7 linked regions of the Oryctolagus cuniculus genome follow. The protein of the gene in region 7 interacts with the protein of the main gene of each other region in a pairwise test. Links are inferred from orthologs where the notes say so. Each region holds a gene or a part of one and is shown on either strand. Other genes may lie near its edges. The genes, in order: YAE1, KAT7, NOD2, PNMA5, KIAA0408, FABP4 and VIM.

Region 1 (4,149 bases), on a different chromosome or scaffold from region 7:
TGTCAGGTCTTAGCTCCATCTGATCATTTGGTTCTGCCATATGCTGTTACTGCCCTGGCTTCCCGACAGGTATTCAATGTTAAGGACTACAATACATGGAATCATTTTACCTTTATTACTCACTACAATTTCCATCTACTTCTAGTTTAGAGGTCTGTCATATTGGGTTCTGCCAAATGTGCAAGTACTAAAAGTTTTATTTAAAGCCTGAAGATCTTGTAATTAGAGACTGGCAGTAATTCTGGTAGCAAAGAGTACACACCCTCTTACTGTTTCCATGCCCAAAAAAGGGACAACAGCTGGCTCACATATTAAAATGGATGAGCTGATAATGATTTTTACTCTTTGAAGGCAACATTCTATGTTTTTCCACACTCTTGTGTATTCAACAGCAGAAAGAAGCACTTTAAATGTTTATTTTTAATATTCATAAAAATCATCCTGTAATATTAAAGATTCAGCATTTAAATTTCTGAATTACCTCAGTGTTCCTCTGAGTTCTCCATAGTTTACAATGATTGCTGCACCTTCTTTATAGCCTTGATTGAAGCCCTGTTGAAGAGCAACTGCTTTGCCAGCATCGATTCCTTCTCTATAGCCTTCCTAAAAATAAGCAATGAACAACTACAGTTGTAACTAATACCAAGTGAACCATATGTAGGCTTTTCTAGAAAGGCACAGACCCAATTTAGAAAACTGATGAAACTGGCTTTTACTGCATTCTTGAAAATAATATGGTATAGCCCCACAAGCAATGCAGGTTATGTTCCTCATAAAAATTTATTACCGGTTTATTGTTCCTTATCCCACTTTTGAAGTGTGTTCTCACCCAGTTTTTAACACCTCTGTTTTAGCAATGTCTTCACAGAAAGGAAACATGGAAACTTACATGTCTGGCCCTCTGGCAACTGAGTGGAAAGGTGTGAGTGGGTGAGGAGACAGAACAAAGTAAGGAAAGGCAAAACTGTTTTAGAAGGAAAGTGAGAAGCCTGGTTTTAGAAATTTTGCTTGATCCTGAAATCCAAGTAAATTCTCTGTGGACAGAAACTTTGTTCTGCATGTCCCAAGTATGTCACAGTACTCAAAAGATGCTTATTATTGGGGCCAGCACTGTGGAAAAGGGGGTAAAGTGGCTGCCTGCAGTGCTGGCATTCCATACAGGCTCTGGTTTGAGTCCTCGCTGCTCCACTTCCGATCCAGCTCTCTGCTATGGCCTGGGAAAGCAGTAGAAGATGGCCCAAGACCTTGGGACCCTGCACTGGGAGGAAGCTCCTGGCTCCTGGCTTCAGATTGGCCCAGCTCCAGCTGATGGGGCTTTTTGGGGAGTGATCCAGCAGATGGGAGACCTCTCTCTCTCTGCTCTGTAACTGTAACTTTGTCTTTCAAGTAAATAAATAAATTCTGAGAGAGAGAGAGAAAGAGAGAGATGTGGCAGTATTGACTGGTCCAGCCTTAGCGTCACATAAAACTTTTTGTAACTGACAACGTGGTTGCTGAACTAAGCAAATATTGTTTTGCTGAAACATTAATTTGGGGCAGATCCCCAATACAGCTTTAGGAGCAATTTAATGGCTGGCAAATATAGTAAGTGGAAGCAACCCCCACCATTTAGTCTTCACCCAGTACTAAGCTCTGAGTACTCCATCTGGAAATTACGCTTAGACTCAACAAATAAAATTAGACATGAATAATTCACATCCAACAAATAAGAAGAAAATTGGTTTTAATATTCCCTTACTTGGTCATCAGTATTCCATCTTAGCTTTCTCCTACTGCCTTTTTTTTTTTTTTTAATATTTACTTGTTTGTTTGAAACGCAAAATTACAGAGATGCAGGGGCAGAGAGAGATCTTCCATCAGCTGGTTCATTCCCAAATGGCTGCAACTGCTGGAGCTGAGCTGATCCGAAGCCAGGAGCTTTTTCTGGGTCTCCCACGTGGGTGCAGGGGCCCAAGGACCTGGGACATCTTCTACTGCTTTCCCAGGCCACGGCAGAGAGCTGCTCAGAAGTGGAGCAGCCGGGACTCGAATCAACTCCCATATGGGATTCGGGCACTGCAGGAGGTGGCTTTACCCGCTATGCCACAGCCCCGACCCCTCTCCTACTGCCTTTAACATTGTAAAGTTCACTTTTTTCGTGTATCTTGGTTAAAACACTCCTAACTCTGGGCTCCCCACCCACTCAAGCTGCCCGTGGAAGCCTGAATGCGCGTCCTTTGACAGCCATAATCAGCAGTCAAGTAATCACTGTATTGGTATGTCTCTCCCCCACCCACTTCCCTGTGATCATCATCAGACAGCAATCGCTTCCAAGTGTGGACAACATGTGTTTTGGTGGGCGTCCCGCTTCTCCAACGCCCTCCCGCAAGCGCTCAAACAACGCGTCTCTGGGGTTCACCCGCTTCCAAGCAACCCACTGGGAAATCCTGGCGGGACGCGGGGCGCACCGCGTGGCAAAGGGTAAGGACGGCGGCGCTAGCCAGACTGGGACCACTGGGACCACGGTGGGCCCGGCTTCTTCACAAACTCGGGGCTCCGCTCCACCACAGCCCGGCACCCCCCGGGGTCCCCGCACCCTTCCCACCCCCCTCCCCCGGCTTTACTTTCACTCGTTTCTGCATGTGACTCCGCCATTCCCGCTGTACCAGGAGCGACTCGTCAGCTTCCTCATCAAACACGTCCCCCTCCTCGGCCGGGCTCTGGACCGAGGGGGTAGCCCGAACCCACGACATCACCGAGATGGCTACGGAGCCGCAGGCAACAGGAAACACCCGCGACTCCTTCCGGTGTGAGGGGCGGGACGAAGACTGCGCTCCTGGCGCTCAGGGCGGGTGCGCGTGCGCCGAGGCGATCCGTCGTGGTTGCGGGCTGTCCAGCCTGACGTCCAGAGCTTTTGGACTCGCGGACTTTGGGACTAAGTCAGTTAACACAGTGTGTCCGTGTGCACCTTGATTCCTTCCTCGGCTGGGGCGTGACCTTGATCAGACCCCGCATTCCTGTCGTAGACTGCAGTGTTCTGGGTGTGGGAGAGGCTCCTTTTGTAAAATCACTCAAGGCGGTTGAGCCAGTACTGCCCAAAGACTGTCTCAGAATCTCAGCGTGTTCAGGGGACGTGACAACCTGACACGGATTGATTGTTAGGAGCTTGGAGCAAAGAGCAAAAGAGTCAGAGAGTGAACTACTGCGGCCCATTTGAGATCAATAGGAAATAGAAAGGTTGCCTTTGCCATCGATACATCTTCCTTGATTCTCAGTATCCTTCGCTGCCTTCCACTCTTGCTCACGTGCGCTAAATGCAAACTGTGATCTTGGCGAGGGCGGGAACTTGTCTGCCCCAGCACCAGCAGGTTCTGACACTGCAGGTGAAAGCACCCCAGTGGCATCCCGTTTTGCCTTTGTTTGTGTGGGTAAATGAGTCCTGTGACAGTCGTGGTTTGTTTGTCTTACCTTTTCTTGAATACCTGTGTGTCTGGATACATTAGTGAATAAAACAGATAAAAGTTCCTAGCCCTTTGGATTTTATTCCTGTAGAATTTGCAGAGCACACACAGCAAACAAATATGAGTAACTTAGGTAGTTTGAAGATTATAAATAATAAATGTTATGAAACAAATTTAAAACAAGTAAAGTAAAGGGAATCCTGAGTGTGTGTGTGTGTGGGGGGGCGAGTGGATGGTGCAGGCTACAGATTTAAATTTTAGAATTTTGCATCTCACAAATATATAACCTGTAAAAGGCATATATTAAGTAAACTCTTAAAAATGTATTTGTTAATTAGAAACAAAATGGCAATAAAGGAATCAATAAAAACAATTGAATAACGTTGACTAGCTGAGCGCATTTAGCCTAGTGCGTGAGATGCTAGCCTCCTGCATTGGAGTGCCTTCATTAGAAGCCAGCCTCTCACTTTGTTTGGAGTGCCTGAGTTTGATGTGCAGCTCTGACTCCTGACTCCAGCTTCCTGCTAATGCAGACCCTGGGAAGCAGTGGTGATAGCGCAAGTGGGTTCCTGCTGCTCACATGGGAGACTTTGATTGCCTTCCCAGCTCCCAACTTTGTCCAGCTCCAGCCTAGATTATCACTGGTATTTTGGGAAGTGAAGCAGTGCCTAGGAGCTCCCCCTCTTTGTCTATCTCTCAAATAAAATTA
Region 2 (4,231 bases), on a different chromosome or scaffold from region 7:
GCTCTGTTTAACACATCAGTCAGGTGTTTGTCTTCTGCTGCTTTATTCCTTTGCCTGCTTCAGGGGGTGGATCTCCATCTTAGCTGGCCTCACGTGGATATTGGGGTCCAGGATCCTAACTTAGGGACTGAGGCTGTCTGGATTTCTCCCAGTTGCTCTTGGTCAAGCCTTGGTCTTCTCAAGACTTCCTCCAGGGAGGTCTCCACTTTACCAGCCTTTTCTTAGGGCTCTTCTTCCAGCCTAATATCCTGGACCAACTTCTTCCTAGACTCTCCCATTATTATTTAAATATCCATTCTTTTCTGGGCTTCAGCTTCACACACAAAAATATTCCCACCCTTTCTCCCCTCCCCCAACTTTGGCTCATGCTAAATGACCAGAGGTGGGGCAAGGGCTGTGGTCTGCAGCGCTGACATCCCATATGGGCGCTGATTCGTGTCCTGGATACTCCACGTCTGATCCAGCTCTCTGCTCCGTCCTGGGAAAGCAGAAGATGGTCCAAGTCCTTGGGCCCCTGCACCCGCGTGGGAGACCCGAAGAGGCTCTTTGCTCTGGATCCACACAGCTCCTGCCATCTGGGAGTGAACCAGCGGACGGAAGATCTCTCTCTGCCTCTCTGTAACTCTGCCTCTCAAATAAATAAGTAAATCTTTTTTATTTTAAATGACCAGAGGTCATTTGGGCTCAGTGGGGTTCAAGGAGTCTCTCCGACTTTGGCACAGCACCCCGACACCAAGGCGTATTTTTCACCTCTGGCCCCCCCCCAGGGCTCGCAAACCCGAGCACAGTGGGGGAAGGAGGTGGGCGCTCCACACACAGCTAAATGGAATTCTTTAGAATCACAGTTCCACAAGAATGGTTTTGCCGTCTCCCACGACTAACTTACTTGCCGTTCGCTAAGGGCAAGGACAAAGTCTCCTCTACCAGACAGGAAACTTCCTGATGACGGACGCCCTGTATTCCTTTTTTCCTGCCCCTTATTCCCACCCTCTTTGAGACACAGAACGGCTCTTAAAACACAAAGTTCCTTGTTCAAAACAGCCCTTCCCAACTTTAGAGTTTTAAATGATAAACGGAAACGTCCTTTAGGCAAATGAGCAACGAAAGGGTTAAATCTCAGCAACCTGATGAATTCTGGGGTTTCTTTCCTCGAATCCAGAAATTAAAACGACCGGGTAGGGAAATTTTGCCCAAGGTAAAGATGAGAACCGTTAACTTCAATTGTCAGGCTTCTGCCCCAAACAAGAATGGCTACCCACGCCCACAAAGGGCGTCACTCACCTAACTAAAAATGGCTGGCCCCGGTTTCCACTCTCGGTGCCTCTTCCTGCCCAACTCCAAAATGGCGCCTGCTAGCCTCACCGAAAGGAGCGACCCTCCCAGCACCCTCTCTGGCCCGTAACGTCAAATGACGTGAGCCCCAGCCGGAAGTGAAGGAAAAAGCGCTTCAGCCCGCGGCGCCTGCGCAGAAGGCTCCAGACGCTGTAAGGCAGGAGGCACTTGGGATCGTCCGCAGGATTGGGACTGTTACAGAGGCCGCCACGGAGCCCGCCGGAGCCACCGTTCCTGCTGCTGCCGCCGCTGCCCGAATCGGAACCGTCGGGCCGCAGCCGCCGGCTATGCCGCGAAGGAAGGTGAGAAACGGGAGAGGAGAGATGGCGGGTTTCTAAGGACAGTAGAGGGAGCAGCGTGACGCAGTAGGCCACGCCTCACAGCGCCTAGGTTCCAACTTCCCGTTCTCCCGAACCTAACTCAGCTATCCTCTCTCTGTGCATACCCAACAGAAAAATGTGGGCCCAAGCCTGGCCTCGGCCTATGCTTGCAACTATTCCCGCCCTCTGCTTGCCTGGGTCGAAGGCGTTCTTATTGTTAATTGGTCACTGGAACGTCTTGAAGCGTATTGATTGGCTGGTTACACCGCCTGTTTGGGCCCAACGGTCACCTCCCCGCATGCGGGGGTGGTGTCTGGACCCGGCCTTAGCAATCTCCAATTGGCTGTAGCGACCGATCCCTCTTCTCCTAATTGGTCGGGCTTGGCAGTCTGTCCCGCGGGGGCGCGGCTTAGCAGGGCGTCGATTGGGCGGCGTGAATCCCCGCCCTTCCGGTTGAGGATGTTGATAGGTGTGGAGGCGGGGTTTTGGAGATCTCTTTCCTTTCCAGGTGGGGGCACAACAAAGCAGAGAACTGGGTGGTGGAGAAACAGCGCCCACCCTCCAGGGGATCCCGCCCAGGCCTGTTGCGTTCTAGCCACAATCTGCGGTTCTGTAGTGGCTGGAAAATCCTGTTCGAAAGTCAAAAATTTTCTAGAACTGTGAGGTCACCTAGGAACACCCTCTTCCCCCTTCCCTTCTTTTTACAAGGGAACACATGGAAGTCTCAAGGGAGTGTCCCAAGCCCCTCGAAATGGGCGGTGGCCGAGCCATAACTACAGAAACACGATTCAGTTCAACAAATGTTCATCGCCTGCCTGCTACCTGCTGATCGCTGGGGATTCCAGGCTCAATTAGGCGTGATCTCTGACTTAGCAGTGTTACTGTGTGATGGGGAAAGCGTGTATGTAAAGAACTGAAGGAGGTAGTACATTTTCTGCTTCAAGGTACAGAGTGCCGTGGCGGGAAGTGAAGGAGCAATTAAATGTGCTCTGGGGAAGAAGGGAAGCCGATTGTAAAGCCAGAAAGAGGAGCTGAGCTCAGGGCTGGGCGAGGAAGGAGCGGTCAGAGGTCAGGGGTTCCCGACCCTGGGTAACTGGGCTGAGATGAGCCTTCGGGTTTCCCCTTCATCTTGGCGCTTTCCTCTGATTCTTACAGGACTTTGATTCATCTCATTTCTCCACAGGTGACCCTGAAATCTTTGGAAAACTAGGTGGTATTCGTGCTCAATCTGCTGAAGTCTTTAACCCCCAGAGGCCTTCTGTTTTAAATGCTTTTTTAATGTCCCCTAAAGTCACCTAGGTTGGCAGGTGGTGCTCATGTTAAGGCTGACCAAATGCAGGAGTGGTAGTGGTGCCTTGCAGTAGATCCCCAGGCCCCTTCTGCAATCCCCAAATACAGTGTGTTCTCCAAGAGGCTTTTCAATAACTTGTTTGGCAGCAAACCTATCCTAAACTGTCAGGCTTCCCATGGTCTTTTCGTGTCTCATTTAGTGTGACTGTGTATTTTGCTGTAGAAATATGAATGTGTTTGATTAGGGGTGTTATTTGTAAGCTATATGCAAAGTATTCCTTTTCATAAAATCTTAAACATTTCTCCTTTAAAAAAATTAACTTATTTGAGAGGCAGAGAAAGAAAGATAAAAACAGCTCCCATCTGCTGGTTCACACCTTGAATGCCCAAAACAGCCAGGGTTGTTCCTGGCTTAAAGCAAGGAGTGAGGAACTCAATCCGGGTCTCCCAACTGCTTAAGCCATCAGCTGCTGCCTCTCAGAGTGGGCCTTAGCAGGAAGTTGGAACGAGGCACGGTGGTAAGGGATGCTGGTATCCCAACCAGAGGCTGAACCTCTAGGTCAAATGCCTGCTCCCTAAAATCTTAAAAATTATGAATTCCAACAGCCGCTGGCCTTGAGGGTTTTGAATAAAGAATCGGGACTTGTAGTTTGAAATTTTTTATTGCTTTTAGCAAATATTCTTTCTTTTTTTAAACACTTATTCATTTATTTGAAAGGCAGAGTTAGAGAGAGACAGAGGCAGAAAGAGAGGTCCTCCATCCACTGGCTCACTTCCCAAACGGTGGTAATGGCTGGAGCTGGGCCAGTCTGAAGCCAGGAGGCAGGAGCCTCCTCTGAGAGAGCCAGATCAGAAGTGGAGCAGCTGGGTCTCGAACCAGTGCCCATATGGGATGCCGGCACTGCAGGCAGCAGCTTACCTGTTACACCACAGATGTATGTATTATTTCAAAGACAGAGATGTAGAGAGAGAAAGAGAGAAAAAGAGATATCTTCCATCCTCTGGTTCACTCCCCAAACGGCTGCCACAGCTGGGCTGGGCCAGGAGACAGAGACTTCTTCTAGGTCTCCCATGTGGGTGCAGGGACCAAGCAGTTGGGCAATCCTTCAGTGCTTTCCCAGGCCATTAGAAGAGAGAGCTGGATTGGAAGTGGAGCAGCCAGGACTTGAACTGGCGCCCATATGGGATGCCGGCATGGCAGGTGATGGCTTTACATGTTATGCCACAATGCCTGTCCCGAAAAGATGATTTTTAAAATCCTGCTTTTTTTTTAAAATATATATTTTATT
Region 3 (3,500 bases), on a different chromosome or scaffold from region 7:
ACATTAGCATGGAGCTGGATTGGAAGTGGAGCAGCTGGGACTTGAACCAGTGTTCATATGTGATGCTGACTTTGCAGGAAGTGGCTTGACCTGCTGTCCTTCACACTTAACCTGCTTGACTCTGGCCCCAGTTTTTTCATAGTGTACATTTCCATGAACTTTTTGGAGAGCCCCCTTATACATGGATTTCAGGGTTTGTTGTACCAAAATAAACTGCCTTTTAATTCCAATTTTGCATGAGCTTTTTGAAGTACCTTTGTATATTGGGATATTGGTCCTATGCTCCTGGGTGGAAGGCAGACAAAGCCACCCATTCCTCAGTCTGGGGACCAGAAAGGCAGTGCAGACCCAGGGCCTCTTCTTTGAGTGACTCCTTGTCCTTAGGGGAGCTAAGACCTTACTGTGGAAGTTACTTGTTGGCCTCAGGGAAAAGAACAAACGGGCTGGAGCTTAGGTAGGGGTAGTGAGGCTGTGATGGGGTGAACCAGCTGGGACTCTGGACCAGCACTTCCCCATTTGTTGAAAGGGGAACTGAACCCTGATTCAGGAAGTGGTTTGCTCAGTTTCGGTTTTCAGGATGATGAAGGAAAGGCAGAGAGCTGCATGAGCACGGTGGGGAAGTGTGGGCAGGATAGAGTCTAGGCCAAGTGCCCAAGCCAGGCACCAGAGACTCTGCCCTTCCAGAGGAAGGCGCACCCAGAGGACGCAGGCTCATGTCCCCATTTCCAGGTCTCTGACTGCATCGCCCTGCAGAGTTCCACTTACCTTGGAGAGTCACATAGTCACCGTTCTAGGAGTCAGCATGTGGACACTGGGCGTGGGGGTGGGGGAGGGTGGTGGTGGGGTGGAGAACCATTGCGCCTACCTCACTCACGATAGTAATAATAAAAAACCAGGTTTCATTGTGTATCAAGTGTCAGATACTCTTCTAATCTCTTTTTATCTCATTGTCTCCTGAAATAATTCTTAAGATGTCAATTTTATCCATTTTTGCATACAAGAAAATTGCAGCCCAGCAGGGCTAAGTGGCTTGTCCATGTTGATGGTGGATCAATCCAAGTTTCAGAATCAGATGTGTCTGGCTCCTGAAACTGGATTCCTAAGCTCTTCTGCCTCCTGTGTCTTTTTAGAAAGAAGCAATGGCGGCTGTATGGTGAAAGACCCTGGGTAACGCTGCCCAGCCAGTGTGGCCAGATGGGCATCCACAGCCCACGACCCGGTGCAACCCTCTGCGCGCCTCCCAACGTCAGTAATGACCATGGCGATCACTGCTGTCATTCAAGCACTTGCTTTTGTTGGACCTTGTGCTAAGCACCATTTATTCATGTAAAAACTAGGAGGTCATGGCCGCCATTTCTCCACTTCCCAGGGGGAGAGAACCTGGCTTAGGGAGGCTCCCCGACCGTCCTCCAAGTCCAACTCACAGCTTGTGAGTAGAGGAGCCAGGACAGGTGCCCGGCAGGTCTTCTCTCCCACCAGTAACTGCCCTCTTCACCACGGCCCCACCCGCATCTCCCTCTCCTTCTGTTTTCTAGCTGCCGCGTGTAAGAAGTACATGTCCAAGCTGCGGACCATAGTAGCTGCACAGTCTCGCTTCCTCAGCACCTATGATGGAGCAGAGAACCTCTGCCTGGAGGACATATACACAGAGAACACCCTGGAGGTCCGGACCGAGGTGGGCATGGCTGGACCCCTGCACAAGAGCCCCGCCGCCCTGGGCCTGGAGGAGCTCTTCAGCCCCAACGGCCACCTTAATGAAGATGCGGACACCGTGCTCGTGGTGGGCGAGGCAGGCAGTGGCAAGAGCACACTCCTACAGCAGGTGCACTTGCTGTGGGCCACGGGGCAGGACTTTCAGGAATTTCTCTTTGTCTTCCCATTCAGCTGCCGGCAGCTGCAGTGTGTGGCCAGACCGCTGTCTGTAATGACGCTGCTCTTTGAACATTGCTGCTGGCCCGATGTTGGCCAACAGGATGTCTTCCAGTTCCTCCTGGACCACCCTGACCGCATCCTCTTGACCTTTGACGGCTTTGATGAGTTCAAGTTCAAGTTCACGGACCATGAGCGTCACTGCTCTCCAACTGACCCCACGTCTGTCCAGACTCTGCTCTTCAACCTTCTGCAAGGCAACCTCCTAAAGAACGCCCGCAAGGTGCTGACCAGCCGTCCGGATGCGGTGTCAGCGTTCCTTAGGAAGTATGTCCGCACTGAGTTCAACCTCAAGGGCTTCTCAGAGGAGGGCATCGAGCTGTACCTGAGGAAGTGCCATCGTGAGCCTGGGGTGGCAGATCGCCTCATCCACCTGCTCCAAACAACTTCAGCCCTGCACGGTTTGTGTCACCTTCCTGTCTTCTCGTGGATGGTGTCTAAATGCCACCAGGAACTGTTGCTGCAGGACGGGGGGTCCCCAAAGACCACCACGGATATGTACCTGCTGATCTTGCAGCATTTCCTGCGGCATGCCTCCCTCCCAGACTCAGCCTCCCAGGGCCTGGGGCCGAGCCTCCTTCAAGGAAGGCTCCCCACCCTCCTGCGCCTCGGCCAACTGGCTCTCTGGGGCCTGGGCATGTGCTGCTACGTGTTCTCAGCCCAGCAGCTCCAGGCAGCGCAGGTTGACCCTGATGACATTTCTCTGGGCTTCCTGGTGCAAGCCCAAGGAGTCGTGCCGGGAAGCACAGCGCCCCTCGAATTCCTGCACATTACTTTCCAGTGCTTTCTTGCTGCCTTCTACTTGGTACTCAGCACTGATGTGCCAACAGCCTCCCTCAGATACCTCTTCAACTGTCGCAGGCCTGGCAGCTCGCCGCTGTCCAGGCTGCTGCCCAGGCTGTGCGTCCAGGGCTCGGAGCACAAGGAAAGCACCGTGGCGGCTTTGCTACAGAAGACTGAGCCGCACAACCTTCAGATCACAGCAGCCTTCCTGGCTGGCCTGTTGTCCCGGGAGCACCGGGACCTGCTGGCTGCGTGCCAGGCATCTGAGAGGAGCTTGCTCCGGCGCCGGGCCTGTGCCCGCTGGTGTCTGGCCCGCAGCCTCCACAAGCACTTCCGGTCCATCCCACCAGCCGTGCCGGGGGAGGCCAAGAGCATGCACGCCATGCCCGGGTTCCTCTGGCTCATCCGGAGCCTGTACGAGATGCAGGAGGAACGGCTGGCCCAGGAGGCTGTGCGCGGGCTGAATGTTGAGCACCTCAAGCTGACGTTTTGTGGCGTGGGCCCTGCTGAGTGTGCCGCCCTGGCCTTCGTGCTGCGCCACCTCCGGCGGCCTGTGGCCCTGCAGCTGGACCACAACTCCGTGGGTGACATTGGTGTAGAGCAGCTGCTGCCTTGCCTCGGGGCTTGCAAGGCCCTCTAGTGAGTGTCGCTGGGTCTGGTTGCTCTGGCAAGGGGTGGGGAATGCCACTGGCAAAGTTAGGTGTGGGAGCGCTGAGCTGGGCTCCAGAAATGCAGACTCAGCACCAGCCCTGCAGCCCGGTCAGGTCTCTGCCATGCGGGGCTGTACT
Region 4 (4,121 bases), on a different chromosome or scaffold from region 7:
CTTGAAGAGCAACAGGTGATGTCACTATCCTCCAGCCAATGGAAATGTCCTAGCAGCAAGGGAGCTGGGAGAGTGAAGGGGAGATGGGGGTGAGGTGAGCAGCAAGGACTGAGTGCTGAAAAAACAAGTGCTTAAGGTTTCATATTGTGTAGCAGCTAGAATTAGGGGCAGAAAAGGGACCCAACGAAGGGTTCCCACTGTCCCGCTGCAGGAAACAGACAACTGTCACCCTAGGTGTGGCCCTACCCTGCAGAGTGTGTGGATCCTGGAAGGCAGCCTTTGTCCCCTTGTCCTTTGCCAGGGTCACAGAGGCTCACCTTCCAAAATAACTTACTTGACGACTTGGCAGTGTGGATTCCACTGGCCGTGTAGAGTTTGTGATTCTGATGTAATCAGGCACTCAGCTTGCTCTCCAGCTCTGTCCTGTCAGGCAGTTCCCGAACCAGGTTAGATGGATCAGGATCCCTTCACTGGATCTGTCCAAAGCAAGGCAGAGGTATTTCACTGTGGTTACGTCCCAAATGCCCTGCTCAGGATGTGCCAATTTTGAATCTGCTCACGAATACAAGAAACTGCTGCTCCACCCCCAGGGAAAAATCCCACCCACCAAGCCCCAAATCCCACCTCCACTCAAGCCACACCCCCAAGGCCAAGCTCTGCATCCACCTAAGCCTCACGCCTGCCATGTAACTGCGTCCACGCAAGCCCCACTCCTTGCACCAAACTCTGCGTCCACGCAAGCCCCACCCCTGCCGTCTAACTCTGCGTCCACGTAAGCCCCACCTCTGGTGCCAAACTCTGCGTCCACGCAAGCCCCACCCCTGCCGTCAAACTCTGCGTCCACGCAAGTTCCATCTCTGGTGCAACACTCTACGTCCATGCAAGTCCCACCTCTGCCGTCAAACTCTGCGTCCACGCAAGCCCCACCCCGGCGCAACACTCTGTGTCCACGCAAGCCCCACCCCTGCCGTCAAACTCTGCGTCCACGCAAGTCCCACCCCGGCGCAACACTCTGCGTCCACGCAAGCCCCACCCCTGCCGTCTAACTCTGCGTCCACGTAAGCCCCACCTCTGGCGCCAAACTCTGCGTCCACGCAAGTCCCACCCCGGCGCAACACTCTGCGTCCATGCAAGCCCCACCCCTGCCGTCTAACTCTGCGTCCACGTAAGCCCCACCTCTGGCGCCAAACTCTGCGTCCACACAAGTCCCACCCCGGCGCAACACTCTGCGTCCATGCAAGCTCCATCTCTGGTGCAACACTCTACGTCCATGCAAGTCCCACCTCTGCCGTCAAACTCTGCGTCCACGCAAGCCCCACCTCTGCCGTCTAATCTGCGTCCACGCAAGCCCCACCCCTGCCGTCTAATCTGCGTCCACGCAAGCCCCACCCCTGCCGTCAAACTCTGCGTCCACGCAAGTTCCATCTCTGGTGCAACACTCTACGTCCATGCAAGTCCCACCTCTGCCGTCAAACTCTGCGTCCACGCAAGCCCCACCCCGGCGCAACACTCTGCGTCCACACAAGCTCCACCCCTGCCGTCAAACTCTGCGTCCACGCAAGCCCCACCTCTGGCGCCAAACTCTGCGTCCACGCAAGTCCCACCCCGGCGCAACACTCTGCGTCCACGCAAGCCCCACCCCTGCCGTCAAACTCTGCGTCCACGCAAGTCCCACCCCGGCGCAACACTCTGCGTCCACGCAAGCCCCACCCCTGCCGTCTAACTCTGCGTCCACGTAAGCCCCACCTCTGGTGCCAAACTCTGCGTCCACGCAAGCCCCACCCCTGCCGTCAAACTCTGCGTCCACGCAAGTTCCATCTCTGGTGCAACACTCTACGTCCATGCAAGTCCCACCTCTGCCGTCAAACTCTGCGTCCACGCAAGCCCCACCCCGGCGCAACACTCTGCGTCCACGCAAGCCCCACCCCTGCCGTCAAACTCTGCGTCCACGCAAGTCCCACCCCGGCGCAACACTCTGCGTCCACGCAAGCCCCACCCCTGCCGTCTAACTCTGCGTCCACGTAAGCCCCACCTCTGGCGCCAAACTCTGCGTCCACGCAAGCGCCATTCCTGGCGCCAAAAGCCAACCTCTGAAGATCCACTGAACCGGCAAACTGCGTCTTGCGCAAGCGCCATTTCTGGCGCCAAAAGCCACTTTCACCAAGAGCCACTGAACCGCCAAACTCTGTGTCCATCCGAGTGTCATACACTCCGCCATTCATGTGCACGTCCTGCACCCACCCAAGTTCCTCACTTCCATTTCCCTGTACTCCTTTCCCCCACCTCATTATCTTTAACCTCCTGTACCCATCAGGCTGTCCCATTCACTCCTAACCTCACACACCCTTTCCACTACTCTGAGCAGGGACACATCTAGTCAGCAGAGGTAGCTAGAGGCTAGAACAGGAATGGCCAAAGCCACTTTCCCTCAAGGATAAGGGCCAGAACCAGTTGTCCTTACTGCTACGTCTGGGCAGGTTTGGGGTAGAATGGGCCCTCCTAAAGTTCTGAGGCCACTCATGATAACTGGAAATATCAGGGACCCCTAGGATTCTGCTTCCAGGGGAATCTAAGGCCACTGGCCCCTGGGACCTCATGGAGGTCAACCAGGATCATTGGAGGGAATCTGTTGTAACCTTGGTTCCCTTTTGTGCCCAAACCCAGCTCCTTACCTTCTGGGAATGCCTCCAGGCCACAGCGCCCGTGCAGCGTGGCCACTCTGCCGCCGCCACTGTACGGAATGAGCCGCGAGTTTGTGGCGGGAAAGAAATTGTCGGGTAAGCAACGGTCTTCAGCACCGCCCACTCGCAGATGCATCCCGGCAACGTCTACGGCCACGCCCACCCCCATCTCCACCTCCACCCCACTCCTGCAATAAAGGGGTTGTGCCCTGTCCACCGCACGTTTCTCCTCTGAGTCATGACTGGAGGGGGAACAGAGAATTCAAACCATACTGAGAACTGTTGCGTTGCAGAGTTGCTCACAGTCCAGCTTGTACGTGCTCAATAGAGGCCGACAGGACCACCACCTGTCACATCAGTCCCAGCAACCATTGCGGCTACTATGATAGGTGTCTCTCACCCATTGGACTGGGACTGGCTCTGACTTTCACCAGTGGCTCCTCCTGTTTGTGTATTCCAAGCTATGCACACAGGGCTATGTGCAAAGTATAGGTCCAGGTGCAAACTACAAGCTCGGTACCTACTAACTAACCAAACGTCTCTGTCCTTGTTAATTTTTATCCACTGTGTCCTAGGGGACGGCAAAAAATAAAAAATACAGCTACTACCTTCATTTTACAAATGCATGCAATTTTCAAGGCTCATTGAGATACAGGAAACTATCAAGATTTCATTCTCTCATTATTCTCGTGATTGCATGAGAATTACCCACGAGGTACCGAAACTTCTCTCTTTTCTTTCCCAAAGCAGGTTTCTTCCACAGAGGGAAGACTTAGCTGTTTTCCTTGGGGCTACTGGGGACCCTAAAGTCCTGTCCCAGCAAAGGGCACTGGTGGGACACTGGTAGCAGTTTACAAAGTGCACACACATTTCCCAGAGCAGGTGATAGTAGCGGTTCAAGTTGTGAGTCAGGAGGTCTTGGCAGAGCTCAGAGTCTGCAAAAGTACCAAAACTCTAGCGGCTATTGCAGTTCCCTGCCCATGCTTTGTGTAGCACTGCTCTGAGATTACCAGAGCCAGAAGTTGTAAGCTGACAGAACGTAAGTTTTGCTGTATTTGGTACGAATAACAGGCCTTTTTTAAAATCATATTTTAATGAAAATGTGAAAAGCAGAAAACTTTTAAAACTAAATGTCACCAAGTAAGATACATACAAATATTGCATTATTCTCCTTTAATTGAAAATTTTTCCTAGGTGAGACATGACACTGTAACCCAGACCCCTATACTGCGTACTTAACAAGAACATACTTTGGACTATCTCTTAAATTAATTTCCTTCTCCTTACTGGAGAAAATGATTACTTGGCGCTGCCACGTGGTCACAGACCAGACGGCTCTCCTTACAGCAGTCCACAGCACCCTCTGGATGACACCACCAGCTGCCCAGTCTCATACAGGCTGTGAGCAGAGCTGTCCTGAGCACCTCTGTACTTCATTCT
Region 5 (3,500 bases), on a different chromosome or scaffold from region 7:
AGCACATTTTAGACCACCACAGCTGGGTGACTCATGAGGGTCCAGGTGAATGCAACTGCAGTCCTCATTCCCTTTTAAGGCAACGTGAGACGCCTACATTGTGTCCAGATGAAGGGAAGACTTTGAAAGATGGCATATTTTCCTCTTTGGAATTAGAAGTGAAAATAGATAGCAAGCCTCCATGTAATGAAAATGTTGGTCTTAGCATGGGGTCATATGACACTGGGAAAGATGCCAAAAACAGCCCTCCTACTGTGTGGTTTCAGAAAACCTGCTCCACCCCCAATAAGTCAAAATATGAAAACATGATCCCAGATCCTCCTGCTCAATCTCATGCTGATCTTCATGTAAGTAATGACTGTAGCTCTGTGGTGATTCAGGGAAGTGGCCCACTTAGAAGTTTCAATGGTGGTTTTGAAAGGACAACAAGGAATGAAAAACTGGCAGCCAAGACTGATGAATTTAACAGAACTGTATTTAGAACAGATAGAAATTGTCGTGCAGTACAGCAAAGTCAAAGCTACTCAGAATCATCTGAGGATATTAAGCACTGTGATACCTTAACCACAAATCCAGGTAATATATCCAAAAGTGACAGTGTATCTGGTAGTCTGAAAACCAGTGCCCACATGCCTGTGCCTATGGGAAATGTGCCTGATAATTCAACCAAGAAACTCACAACTGGTCTTGTCAGACAAATGCCGGAACCCACAGGTCCTAGCAGTTATCGGAATATGCTCCATGAGCATGACTGGAAACCAAATAATTTGTCAGGCCGACCAAGGTCAGCTGATCCCAGGTCAAATTATGGTGTTGTGGAAAAGCTGCTGAAAACCTATGAGACATCAACAGGGTCTGCATTGCAAAATTCTAAGTGCTTCCAAGATCAATGGACCAAATGTAATTCTGATGTCGGTAGTGGTGACACATTAAGTCGGCATTTAAAAATGATCCAAATGGAACAAGAGTTTCAACGAAACCCAGCTATTTGCGGGGTACAGCAAGTGAAGCAAGTAATAGATCGGAAAAAGATAACAGAGGTGAGAAAGCAAAACAGCCTATGTTAATGGAACTGCATTGGTAGTTAGTGATGGCTCTGAGTTGAGTTTAGTTGCCCAACACATCAGTAGAACATAGGCACAAGTTTTGGCATCTTCTGGGCTTCTTGAATATTTGTTGTTTCTTTCCTGAAAAATACTCAGGCTGCATATTTATTGATTCGTAGAATTTTAACCTTTTAAAGCTTTCTTTATTCAAAAATAATTTTCAGTTATTAAGTATGATTAGCTCATATTGAGTAAGTCACATGATTTTTAATATGGGTAAATATTTAAAAATAGTGACCTGTAGAATCCTATCTCTGGAATTAAAAGAGAATATATGAAATAAGATCTTTTTAAATATATATTCTTAGCATGAAAGTTGCTAAAGAAGCATGAGGTTTTTAAGTAAACTGTTATTCTCTTTATCTGTTTACAAGAGTATAACTTTTGTTAACTATAGGAAAAAAGAGATCAAAGAAATTTGTATTTACAAGAATCCCTTTCTATGAATTACAATTTTTAAGAACAACTTACATACAGTTAACAGCTTACATATAGCTAACAGTAACAAATACTGTTATTGTTAGCCAATCCTTCTAAAATTCTAGTTTTACATAATGCAGTGTGTATTCAGCATGGTTTTAAGCTATGATGGTTTCCTCCTTCTGTTGTCAAAAATATTTTTATGTCCTTTTGAGCCCCGCAAAATCATATTTTCCACCACTTTATCAGAAACTTTCCCTGTTTTTATGAGGTACAAATAATTATACTGTTTTTATAGTTCTCTCTTCTCTAGTTGAGCTCATAAATAGCTAGAGATGAAAAATTCAAACATATACAGTAACCAACCAAAATTCTCGTTAACTAACAAGGAATAACCCTAAATGTCTCCCTGTTCTGCATTGATTGAGGATTTGGAAGTCCTCTATTAGAGATCACTAGAAGTACTTTTGTTGGTTTTCCTCTGTAAGTACCCAACTCCAAAGAGAGAAAAAAAGGAAATGCAGGTTACTATAAGGCTTTGACTAAAAATTAGTAGACATCAAGCCCCTCCTCACTGCCCATCTCAGATGCAAGGACATGGATTGGCTAAGAAAGTCACTTAGAACCAAGAGTATAAAATGTATCATGGAAGCCTTTAAAATTTTTTTTAATTGATAAGGAATGCTTTTCTTCCACTGAAATGAAAGGAAAGAAAAGAAAGAAAGAGAAGGAAAACATTTTCATTTGTCAGAAGATACCCGATATAAACAGCAACTCTTTATTTGCAGTTAGAATGAAGGTACATGAAAAGTACTTGGGGGTGGGTGTTGTGGTGCAACAGACTAAGCTGTAGCTTGCAATACTTACATTCCATTTTCAAAGGGCTGGTTTCAAGCCCCTGCTCCTAAGGCTTCCAACCCAGTTTCCTGCTTCTGCACCTGAGAGACAGCAGATGATGGCCCAAGTATTAGGGTCACCCATGCTGGAGACCTGGATGGAGTTTTTGTCTCTTGGCTTTGGTCTTGCCCAACCCTGGCTGTTGCAGCTATTTGGGGAGTGAACCAGCAGATACAACATCACTATCTTCTCTGTCTCTCCCTTTCTTTCTGTCACTCTGACTTTCACATAAATAAATCCATCACTTTGACTTGCAAATAAATAAATGAATATCTTAATAGAAACATCCAATGTGGTGCAGTGGTTAAGTTGCCACTTAGGAAACCCATATGAGAAGCCCTGGGATTGAGTCCCCTCTCCACATCTGATCCAGCGACCTGCTGATGTGCACTCTGGGAAGCTACAGATGATGGCTCAAGGACTTGAGTCCGTGGCACCCATGCACGGGACTTGGATGGAGTTCTGGGCTCTTGGTTTTGGCTTGACACTACCCCAGGTATTGCAGTTATCTGGGGAGTAAACCAATGGATGATAGATGGATCTCTTTCTCTAAAATTTTGAAATTTAAGAAAAAGTATACTAATGATCATTTTAACTTGAGAAATAGTGATGGTGTCCTTAATTTAAAAAAAGAGATAAATTATGAGATTTTTATGTCTTTTGCTTATGATCTCTAAGAAGTATGAACTAGACATAAATGAGCAGAAGTTTTTCTATAAGGCATTTTCATTTTTAAATAATACTAAATATCCTAATAATCCGGTAAGAGACATCTGTAATTCCATCCTATCAGTCATTTAACTTGAACTTTTGAATCCTGAGCTCATAACTATTTTTACAAAGACATCAACTGTATTGAAATTTGTCAGTGTGAATGAGATCCACAAGATTATCACATGTAATGATTTATATTAAAATTGAATTGCTTTGATTAAACATTCCAAGCCACAAATATTAGACAGATACCATCTTTAATTTTCAGTGCCTTTTCTTGGTTATAAGTAGGCCACATTGATCCCTTAGTTGGGATCTACAGTATATATAGTTTGCCATTAGTGCCTGTATAGTGAGATGAAT
Region 6 (4,126 bases), on a different chromosome or scaffold from region 7:
GTATATCCCCAGGAGTAGAATGGCTGGGTCATATGGTAGATATATTTTCATATTTCTAAGGAATCTTCATACTGTCTTTTATAATGGTTATACTAATTTAAATTCCCACCAAAAGGGTAGTAGGATATGTTTTTCTCCACATCCTCACCAGTATTTATTATTTTTTGATTTTTGTATAATAGCTATTGTAACTGGGGTGAAGTGAAAACAAGTAAGGACTCAGTATATATTTTTAAGAAAAACATTATTAATTTGAAACATTCTCAAAATAATCCTGATATTGAGATTGCTTATTTTCCTTTCCTTTCCATCTGAAAGTTCTTATTCAGTAGGAACCAGATGAGTCCTTGATGGCTATCCTACCCTGGCTAGAGCTTTACCACAGTCTGTGTGTCCATGCAATAGTTCATAATGGAAGAACATTGTTACTGTGCCATGAAAAAATGTAACAATTAAAACAGTATTATAAACTAACTTTACTTTTCTAGTCCCTTACATTTGTACAGAAAGTCTCATTGGTTACAAGCTATCCTGCCCAAATGAGAGACTGTTGGAACAGCAGATATTGTTCAACGGATTTACAGTGATTCATCCCTCTGCAACTTTTTAGTTTCTTTTTTCCCTAATGCCTAGGTATGTTCATGCAAGTTTTTTGCACATATGAATATCTTCCATCATCTGGTATGAGAGGATGAGGACACTGAAAACCACGATTACTATAGAAAAGTAATCCCACAAGTGAGATATGCAAAGAAGGATAAGGTATCGATAGCTCGTAACTGACCCATTTCTGATCTTTCAAGTAAAGCAACAATGTTGAGATGTAGATTAATGCAGAGCTCATAATACAGTTCAAGAACTGAATGAATTTTCTCAGTGTGAGGACTGCATTTTGGATTGGAGCCTATGTTTTAAGATATCTTTGGAAATCAACACCACATCGTCATTTAAGGGATAGATAGAGTGAGGTTAAATTATCATTTAAATAAATCTAGAGTCCAGTTTCCCAGTGAATGAACTGATATACTCTTTTATTCATAGAAAGGTTTGAAATTAGAGGCCTGAGGTAGTTTAAAATGCCAGTATTTACTTTGCTCTAATAAGTAATTCCTGAGATAGTCCTGTCCCAAAGAGGCTTTGCAATGTTTTAAGAACTTCCAACATAATTCTTAGATTCCTTAATTTGAAAGAAACTCATAATAGCAATGTTAACAAAAAAAAAAAAAAAAAAAAGGATGTCAAAGTTCATCCCAAGGTAATTGTTCCCCTCTGCCCGGGGGTAAATATGTATGGAAATAATAGGGGGAAGTTCAGTGCATTAAGCATTAAATAGTCGAAACAGCATGTAAAATGTTCTGCTCATGGTTAAAAATAATTTGTACTCTAAGTCCAATGACCACTTGCCAGGGAGAACCAAAGTTGAGAAATTTCTATTAAAAACATGACTCAGAGGAAAAAATGCAGAGGCTGGTAAAGGAGGAAATGACCTGATATCGTTCCCAATTGGCTGTTCAGGAGATCACATGTTCTGAACATCTTTAAAAAGAAGTTGTCTGAACATTGGAGGGCCACAGCACCTTGCTGAAAGCTACACTTCTCTCACCTGGAGGAATAAACCTAGAAAGCTCAAAATGTGTGATGCTTTTGTAGGTACCTGGAAACTTGTCTCCAGTGAGAACTTTGACGATTACATGAAAGAAGTGGGTAAGAGAATGCATTGAGGGATGACTGGATTGATAACATTTTCTCTGGGGGGAAGTGGTTTATCGTGTTTTTCACTCTGGAAGCATTGGCCAGAGATGCTGTTTTCTATACAGAAGTTATGTAAGAAACAGGTGAGAATCTTTCTCTGGAGATGTGTTGAACAAAAGCTACAGCTAATACTTCCTGAAGCTGAAACTCTATGGGAAAAAAATTTGTGTAAATGAAATTCTTATGATCTACAGAAATGAAAAGATTTGACTCTAATTCCACAATGTGGGTATCTTTAGCTTAGTTGACTCTTTGCCTGCTTTTAAATCCGCTTTTGCATATAGAATTTGCAATAACTTGGAAAGAAAAACATATTTCTTTCCTAGCATATAATAATTTCCATTTGACAATGAAGGCACATTTCCCTTCTTTGCATTTTTTTTAGTAAACGTGCATTAGCAAATTATTGTCTCAATGTCAATGTATTAAGATGTATGATTGTTTTATGATTAGCAAGGTGTTTCTCATAGGGCTTTAAAACTTTGCATACAAATGGTATGGGATGCCATTGGATTATTGGTAATTCAAAAGGAGAATATTACATATGTAACAGTCTTCCTCTTTGATAATAGAACCCTTCAAGTTTTCATACTATTAACCTTGCCAGCATTTCATTGCACATCTATCCATTCAGGAGGTGAAGAAATGGAGGTAAACTAGGGAGACAATTTCTTACTCAGGCAGCTTCTGCTTTAAAAACCATTCTTCCCCTACCCTTGTGCATGATACAGTCAAATTCAGGGTTAGCAAACAAGGAGGGAATTTTAATAATATCTCTAGTAGGGGTTAAGATTTAATAATCCCTATAACTCAAAAGACTTAAACCATCCCCGACATTATATATAAGCTAGCATTTTTCCTGTTTACAGATGAGAGAGACATCAGGGACTTCAGTGTAAAAAAGACCTAACTTTCTAGAATGCTAGTTATCTGTGATTCAATAAACTAATTAATATGCATAATATGGAAAAGTAAGGATTTGGGAACATGTAGTTACTTTTAGAAATAGTCTACACTTTTGATAGTTACATTTAAATTTTTATAACAGTACGTTTTTAAATCGTAAAGGATTGATGATAGTTAAAGATAATAAGATACCTCCAGAATGAAATTAGCTGCTCCAGCTGAGGCTGAGAGAGCGGGCATTGCCTGCATCAGTCAGCAAGGAGAGAATGGTTTTTCCTAAGGTCAGCCATTCGAGCGTCACACTGGATGTTGTATCCAGTATTTAATGTGTTAGAGCTGGGACTTATTGAAGCAACCTGTCTTCCCACCTGGGTCACTCTCCAGCTTGTTAAATGGGAGCGTCAGTATTACTTATTTTGCACCATATTTCTCTCCATTTTGTCCCTGTTTCTAATTGTTCGTTACCTTTAGTCAAAAATATGGCTTGGATTTATGTGCACGTGTCAGAAAGTCAACACATCTACAATTATCATAAATTCTGCGTAACATGCAAGGTCAGCAAGTTCCCATTGTTTATATCAGGTTGTAAATTGTTCATCTCATACCTTGCACAGGAAAATATATTCCTTTTTTTTTAAAGAGGAATTGGCAGTTTGGGTGATTAGAAATCAAATAATCAGTTTCTAAACTACTGTTAAGTAAAAAATAATTTACCTTTTTTAACTTTCATAGTTATTTATTTATTATCAAGAAATCTTTTATTTAAAGTATACAAACTTCATGCAAACTTAGGAACATAGTGATTCTTCCCACCCAACCTTCCCTCCTGTCCTCACTCCCACCTTTCTTCATCCTCCCTCTCCTACTCCCATTCTTATTGTTTTACAAAGATCTATTTTCAACTAACTTTATATACATAAGATTAACCCTGTACTAAGTAAAGAGTTCAACAGATAGTATGGAGAAAAAATAACTGTTCCTCAACAGTGAGACAAGGGCTGGAAAATAGTGATTTCTTAAATTTTGAAGTTTTCATGATGCCTGGTCTTGCTTTAATAGTTCCTATAAGTTATTGGGAATGATATCACCAACCTAAAATGGTGTTACTATAGGAAATATTTTGCTTTCAGAAAGATTAACCAAAACCTTCATTCCATAGTGGAGCAATTTAGAAAGAAGCCCAGCAAGCTATCCTTGGCAGCAATGCCATGAAACGCGGTTTTTGTACACTCATGACAGATTATCTTTTAGCTGAACAACTCTGTATTAGCCCAAATGTTTTGTTAAAAATTCTTTGTGAACTTTTATATAAAATTTTTAGATGTAAGAAGGAATGGTCAAATTGCCTCAAACTTTCATGAATTAAAAAAAATGATAGCACTCACCTTTTAAAAATACATATAGGCCTGGAGATTTCATCTGTGTGCATATTCTTGCTGAAAACTAACACTAGACCTCCTGAGGAGTT
Region 7 (4,055 bases):
ATTCAGCTAGGATCCTCAATCTCCTCTGCTGCAAACTTTGTTTCCTTCATGGTCTTTATTAAAACGTGCCTCTGTTTCGCCTGTTCCTTTATTCGATTGTCATCTGGCTGTACCCCATATGCATGCGTGCAGACTCCACATTCCAAAAGGGCTTAGACTATGCCTACCTTTTTCACTCTCCCCGGTGTCTAACAGAGTGGTTGGTACACGGTACATATTCAGTAAACGTGTCCTGAGTAAATGAGTGAAGGCTGCAGATTGTAATATCCTATAAAATGCAACCACATCTAAAGTGACTAGCACAGTGCTTAAACATAAGAATCATCAGTAGATATTAGCCCTCAACTCTTTTCTCCCACAGATTATCCATGCATTGATTCCTACCTTCCACAAATGTCCCCAGTGCTTTCCCAGCCACTGGATACACAGTGGTGACCAAAAGAGAAACAGATCCCTCCACCCCTAATGAAGGGATGAGCAATTCCCTTTGGCACACCATAGAATCTTAACGAAGTTTTTTTTTTTTTACTTTTATTTAATGAATATAAATTTCCAAAGTACAGCTTATGGATTACAATGGCTCCCCCCCCCATAACGTCCCTCCCACCTGCAACCCTCCCCTTTCCCTCTCCCTCTCCCCTTCCATTCACATCAAGATTCATTTTCAATTCTCTTTATATATAGATCAGTTTAGCATATATTAAGTAAAGATTTCAACAGTTTGCACCCACATAGAAACACAAAGTGAAAAATACTGTTTGAGTACTAGTTATAGCATTAAATCACAATGTACAGTACATTAAGGACAGAGATCCTACATGAGGAGTAAGTGCACAGTGACTCCTGTTGTTGACTTAACAAATTGACACTCTTGTTTATGGCTTCAGTAATCACCCTAGGCTCTTGTCATGAGTTGCCAAGGCTATGGAAGCCTTTTGAGTTCACCAACTCTGATCATATTTAGACAAGGTCGTAGTCAAAGTGGAAGTTCTCTCCTCCCTTCAGAGAAAGGTACCTCCTTCTTTGATGACCTGTTCTTTTCACTGGAATCTCACTCGCAGAGATCTTTCATTTAGGAAGTTTTTAAGAAAAAGGAATTACAGCCCAAAGACAGATGCATTTGTAAGCTGGAAGAATGGAAGCCAATCGCAGACAGCAATCTAACAGACGAGTGGACACAGGAAGCAAGGGGACATGTACTCACTGGAACTGAGCAATCCAAGAGTAGGGAAGTGGCAATGATGATTACTTTGCTGGGATGTTCCAAAGAGACAGGAAAGTTGGAAAGAGAAGCTGCTGTGGTTGGTGGGGTTTAGGGCGTGAGATAAGCTAAGACCAATTTTGGGTGTGATGCCTCTGAAGAGACAGAGCAGAATCTGGGTGACAATGATGAACTCACAAAGTATGGACTTGGAGCGCAGGTAGAAAGGAATCTCCCTGCTGATCTAATATGAATCATTGACACAACCTAACATAAAACATGACATTCTCTGTGTCTGCCAATGTACTCCGAGGGAAATTGCTCCTACGCCAAAGGATCTTTGCTAATTTCAGTCCCCTCAGTTCCAGGGACACAGTTGGTCCCTAAATAGTGTTTATGAATTGAATGCCTGATAGTATGAAAAATTTCAACACCAATCAAAGATAAATGACAAGTATATATTGGACTCAGAAAAGAGCCTCAATTTAAATTCTTGTCATCTCCTTCCACACCCCACTAGCTCTACAACAGGAGAAAACTGTGAGCTTGAGCCTTAGACCCCAAATTTGTGAACTGGAGAACCAAGTCTACATTGCAGGCTGCTGCAAGAGCATTAACTTAAATTAAATGCATGCACAATGCTTGCCATTCCGTAGACATAAAAATTAATGCACTTAGGGTATTGTTCATTAGTATCTTTATTATTGTGCCATTTAGGTTTTGCAACAGTTTTCACCCTCTCACTTCATCTACCTTCTTGCTTTCAACACTTCACCCAGACAGTCCTGCTGTGGCATAGCCACCATTCCCAAAGCCTCCACAGGCCACTAAGCTCCTGTGCACACGGCTGGCTGGGCTGTCAGTTCACATCAACCAGTCCAACTGACATCGCCAGAGCTTGCAAATTCCAAAATCACTGCTAGAACTCCAAATGTAGTCGTGTTTATGCCTGGCCTACAAATCATACCACCGTGTCCTTATTCATGCACCACTTGCATCATGCAATGTTTAAACCAGATTCATGATCCAGCACTCAAAAATACTTCTCAGATTTTTCTGGCAAAAAAAAAAAATACAAAAATTGAGAAATCTATGTCTGTGTACAGGTTGCTTTCAAAAGTTAACTAAGACCATAGATAATAGAGACAGCAGGATACATTATCAAGCTCAAGGATGTGAGTTCAGACATAACGAATCCTAACTGATGACTTCTTATTGAGGCATAGGGCTAGGCATGGATATGTTATCTCAGTGTGAATTCTTTCCAAAGTCTCCCGCATTCTACATGAGTGAGTGAAAGTGTTTCTGTAACTCTCATCTTTCAGCATTCTGCAGTCTACCTCCAATTATGGCGATTTCTCACAGGGAGGACAAATTGGGTACTGCACATGTGTATAGGTGTGTGTATATATCAGGGTGCCTAAAAATATTTGTGGAAAATAGAATTAAAAATCAGTTTATATTGGGGCAAAAAACTTGAAATTATGCACACAAAGAGTCTTCAGAATGTTCACAGGAAATGTACCTAGTGAAAAAATTTGCATGGATTTCAACATTTTCTGCACAAAAATAAACTTACCTTTTAATTCCACTTTCTGTGAACTTTCTGAAGTATCTTTGGTACTATATATATGTATATATATATATATATGCTTGACATATATTATATATAATTACATATACTACATGGGATATATAAATCTAACAGCTGTGGCCATACCCCCAGGCTTACCATAGCCCTGAGACTACAGAATGGTGACAGGCTAGAAAGAAGTAGCACCCCTAGAGGATGAAGAGGATGAAAGCCTGCCCCAGAACCACCACTGCCCTGCGGAATGTGCTGTGGGTGCAGGCGGGGCCCGTGGCCACACCACACCACAGCCTTGCCCTCATTTTCCATAGTGAGTCAGTCATCAAGTGGCCCCTGACCGCGCCACCGCATTGCACTGGGATCAGCATTTCACGCAGGGGGAAGGTCCAGCCTCTCCTCTCCCCAAAGGGAGGTGACTTGCCATTCAAAGGGTTGCAGGCAAACTTACAATGGTGACATTTGCTGAGCAGTGGCTTGAATAAAGGGCCCTCAGAAAGGCAAGACCTTAACGTGGAACATAGGCTAGTCCCAGGAATGCCCCTCAGCCTCCAGTGAATAAGGGAACAAAGGACAGCCACAGCAGGAGAGCTGGCCTTAGAGGGTCCTGTGGCAGGTCCTTGGCAGTGCCATTCACCAGGACTCACTGAGATGAGGTAAACTAAACATTGCTCAAAGAGGTTTGTACAAAAAAGGCTATGCTACACCCTTCAATTGCCACCACATGCTTTTTCTTAAATGCCAGGTGATTTCCAGTACCCGGTCCCCACCCAAAGAGGGTGCAGGAATCTGTTTCCTGTACAATCAATTTACAGAGGTTCTGCAGTTCACCGGTTCGGTACTCCCTAAGTATTCCAGATACTCCGACACCTGTGGTTCTTCAATTGCTGCTTCATCAAAAGAACACTGGCTTGCCTGTCCCTCCATCTCGTGTGTGTGTGTGTGTGTGTGTGTGTGAGAGAGAGAGAGAGAGAGAGACGACTCAATTCCACGTAACTAACAGTGAAACAATAGCCTCTGAGTTCAGCGGTTTCCCCAGAGAGGTTAAAGCGGCTACATCGGAACATTCCCTCCGTGTCCTGATCTCCAAGTTTTTTTTTGTCCTCTAGACAAAAGGCTTCCCCAGCTCCAAGTCCAATCCCACGAATTCCTCTGGAAAACAGGACCTGAGACATTTCCCGAACAATGCACTGGAACCCTGCACTATGCATCGCTAAAATTAACACATACATTCGGTCATTTGAGTTGTATAATTGCCTTTCACTT

What was found.
Region 1: the proteins of VIM (region 7) and YAE1 interact in a two-hybrid assay, tested with the Homo sapiens proteins (2 studies listed by BioGRID and IntAct). The link is inferred for Oryctolagus cuniculus from reciprocal best matches to the Homo sapiens genes VIM and YAE1.
Region 2: the proteins of VIM (region 7) and KAT7 interact in binary tests that used the Homo sapiens proteins (3 or more experiments, as listed by UniProt). The link is inferred for Oryctolagus cuniculus from reciprocal best matches to the Homo sapiens genes VIM and KAT7.
Region 3: the proteins of VIM (region 7) and NOD2 interact in binary tests that used the Homo sapiens proteins (3 or more experiments, as listed by UniProt). The link is inferred for Oryctolagus cuniculus from reciprocal best matches to the Homo sapiens genes VIM and NOD2.
Region 4: the proteins of VIM (region 7) and PNMA5 interact in binary tests that used the Homo sapiens proteins (3 or more experiments, as listed by UniProt). The link is inferred for Oryctolagus cuniculus from reciprocal best matches to the Homo sapiens genes VIM and PNMA5.
Region 5: the proteins of VIM (region 7) and KIAA0408 interact in binary tests that used the Homo sapiens proteins (3 or more experiments, as listed by UniProt). The link is inferred for Oryctolagus cuniculus from reciprocal best matches to the Homo sapiens genes VIM and KIAA0408.
Region 6: the proteins of VIM (region 7) and FABP4 interact in a two-hybrid assay, tested with the Homo sapiens proteins (2 studies listed by BioGRID and IntAct). The link is inferred for Oryctolagus cuniculus from reciprocal best matches to the Homo sapiens genes VIM and FABP4.

What each region holds. Positions count from the first base shown.
Region 1 is NC_091447.1:29,676,221-29,680,369, reverse strand, and holds the start of YAE1 (protein YAE1 homolog), read right to left. Parts: upstream 2,801-4,149; 5' UTR 2,733-2,800; coding exon 2,604-2,732; intron 604-2,603; coding exon 482-603; intron 1-481. UniProt on the Homo sapiens protein: The complex LTO1:YAE1 functions as a target specific adapter that probably recruits apo-ABCE1 to the cytosolic iron-sulfur protein assembly (CIA) complex machinery. May be required for biogenesis of the large ribosomal subunit and initiation of translation.
Region 2 is NC_091448.1:25,797,124-25,801,354, forward strand, and holds the start of KAT7 (histone acetyltransferase KAT7), read left to right. Parts: upstream 1-1,431; 5' UTR 1,432-1,619; coding exon 1,620-1,634; intron 1,635-1,689; exon of another isoform or gene 1,690-2,111; coding exon of another isoform or gene 2,112-2,160; intron 2,161-4,231. UniProt on the Homo sapiens protein: Catalytic subunit of histone acetyltransferase HBO1 complexes, which specifically mediate acetylation of histone H3 at 'Lys-14' (H3K14ac), thereby regulating various processes, such as gene transcription, protein ubiquitination, immune regulation, stem cell pluripotent and self-renewal maintenance and embryonic development.
Region 3 is NC_091449.1:34,258,672-34,262,171, forward strand, and holds part of NOD2 (nucleotide-binding oligomerization domain-containing protein 2), read left to right. Parts: intron 1-1,535; coding exon 1,536-3,351; intron 3,352-3,500. UniProt on the Homo sapiens protein: Pattern recognition receptor (PRR) that detects bacterial peptidoglycan fragments and other danger signals and plays an important role in gastrointestinal immunity.
Region 4 is NC_091453.1:131,406,284-131,410,404, forward strand, and holds the start of PNMA5 (paraneoplastic antigen-like protein 5), read right to left. Parts: upstream 2,801-4,121; 5' UTR 2,673-2,800; intron 477-2,672; 5' UTR 335-476; intron 1-334.
Region 5 is NC_091436.1:42,223,268-42,226,767, forward strand, and holds part of KIAA0408 (uncharacterized protein KIAA0408 homolog), read left to right. Parts: coding exon 1-1,040; intron 1,041-3,500.
Region 6 is NC_091437.1:106,978,249-106,982,374, reverse strand, and holds the start of FABP4 (fatty acid-binding protein, adipocyte), read left to right. Parts: upstream 1-1,326; 5' UTR 1,327-1,631; coding exon 1,632-1,704; intron 1,705-4,126.
Region 7 is NC_091444.1:43,365,578-43,369,632, forward strand, and holds the start of VIM (vimentin), read left to right. Parts: upstream 1-1,255; 5' UTR 1,256-4,055. UniProt on the Homo sapiens protein: Vimentins are class-III intermediate filaments found in various non-epithelial cells, especially mesenchymal cells. Vimentin is attached to the nucleus, endoplasmic reticulum, and mitochondria, either laterally or terminally.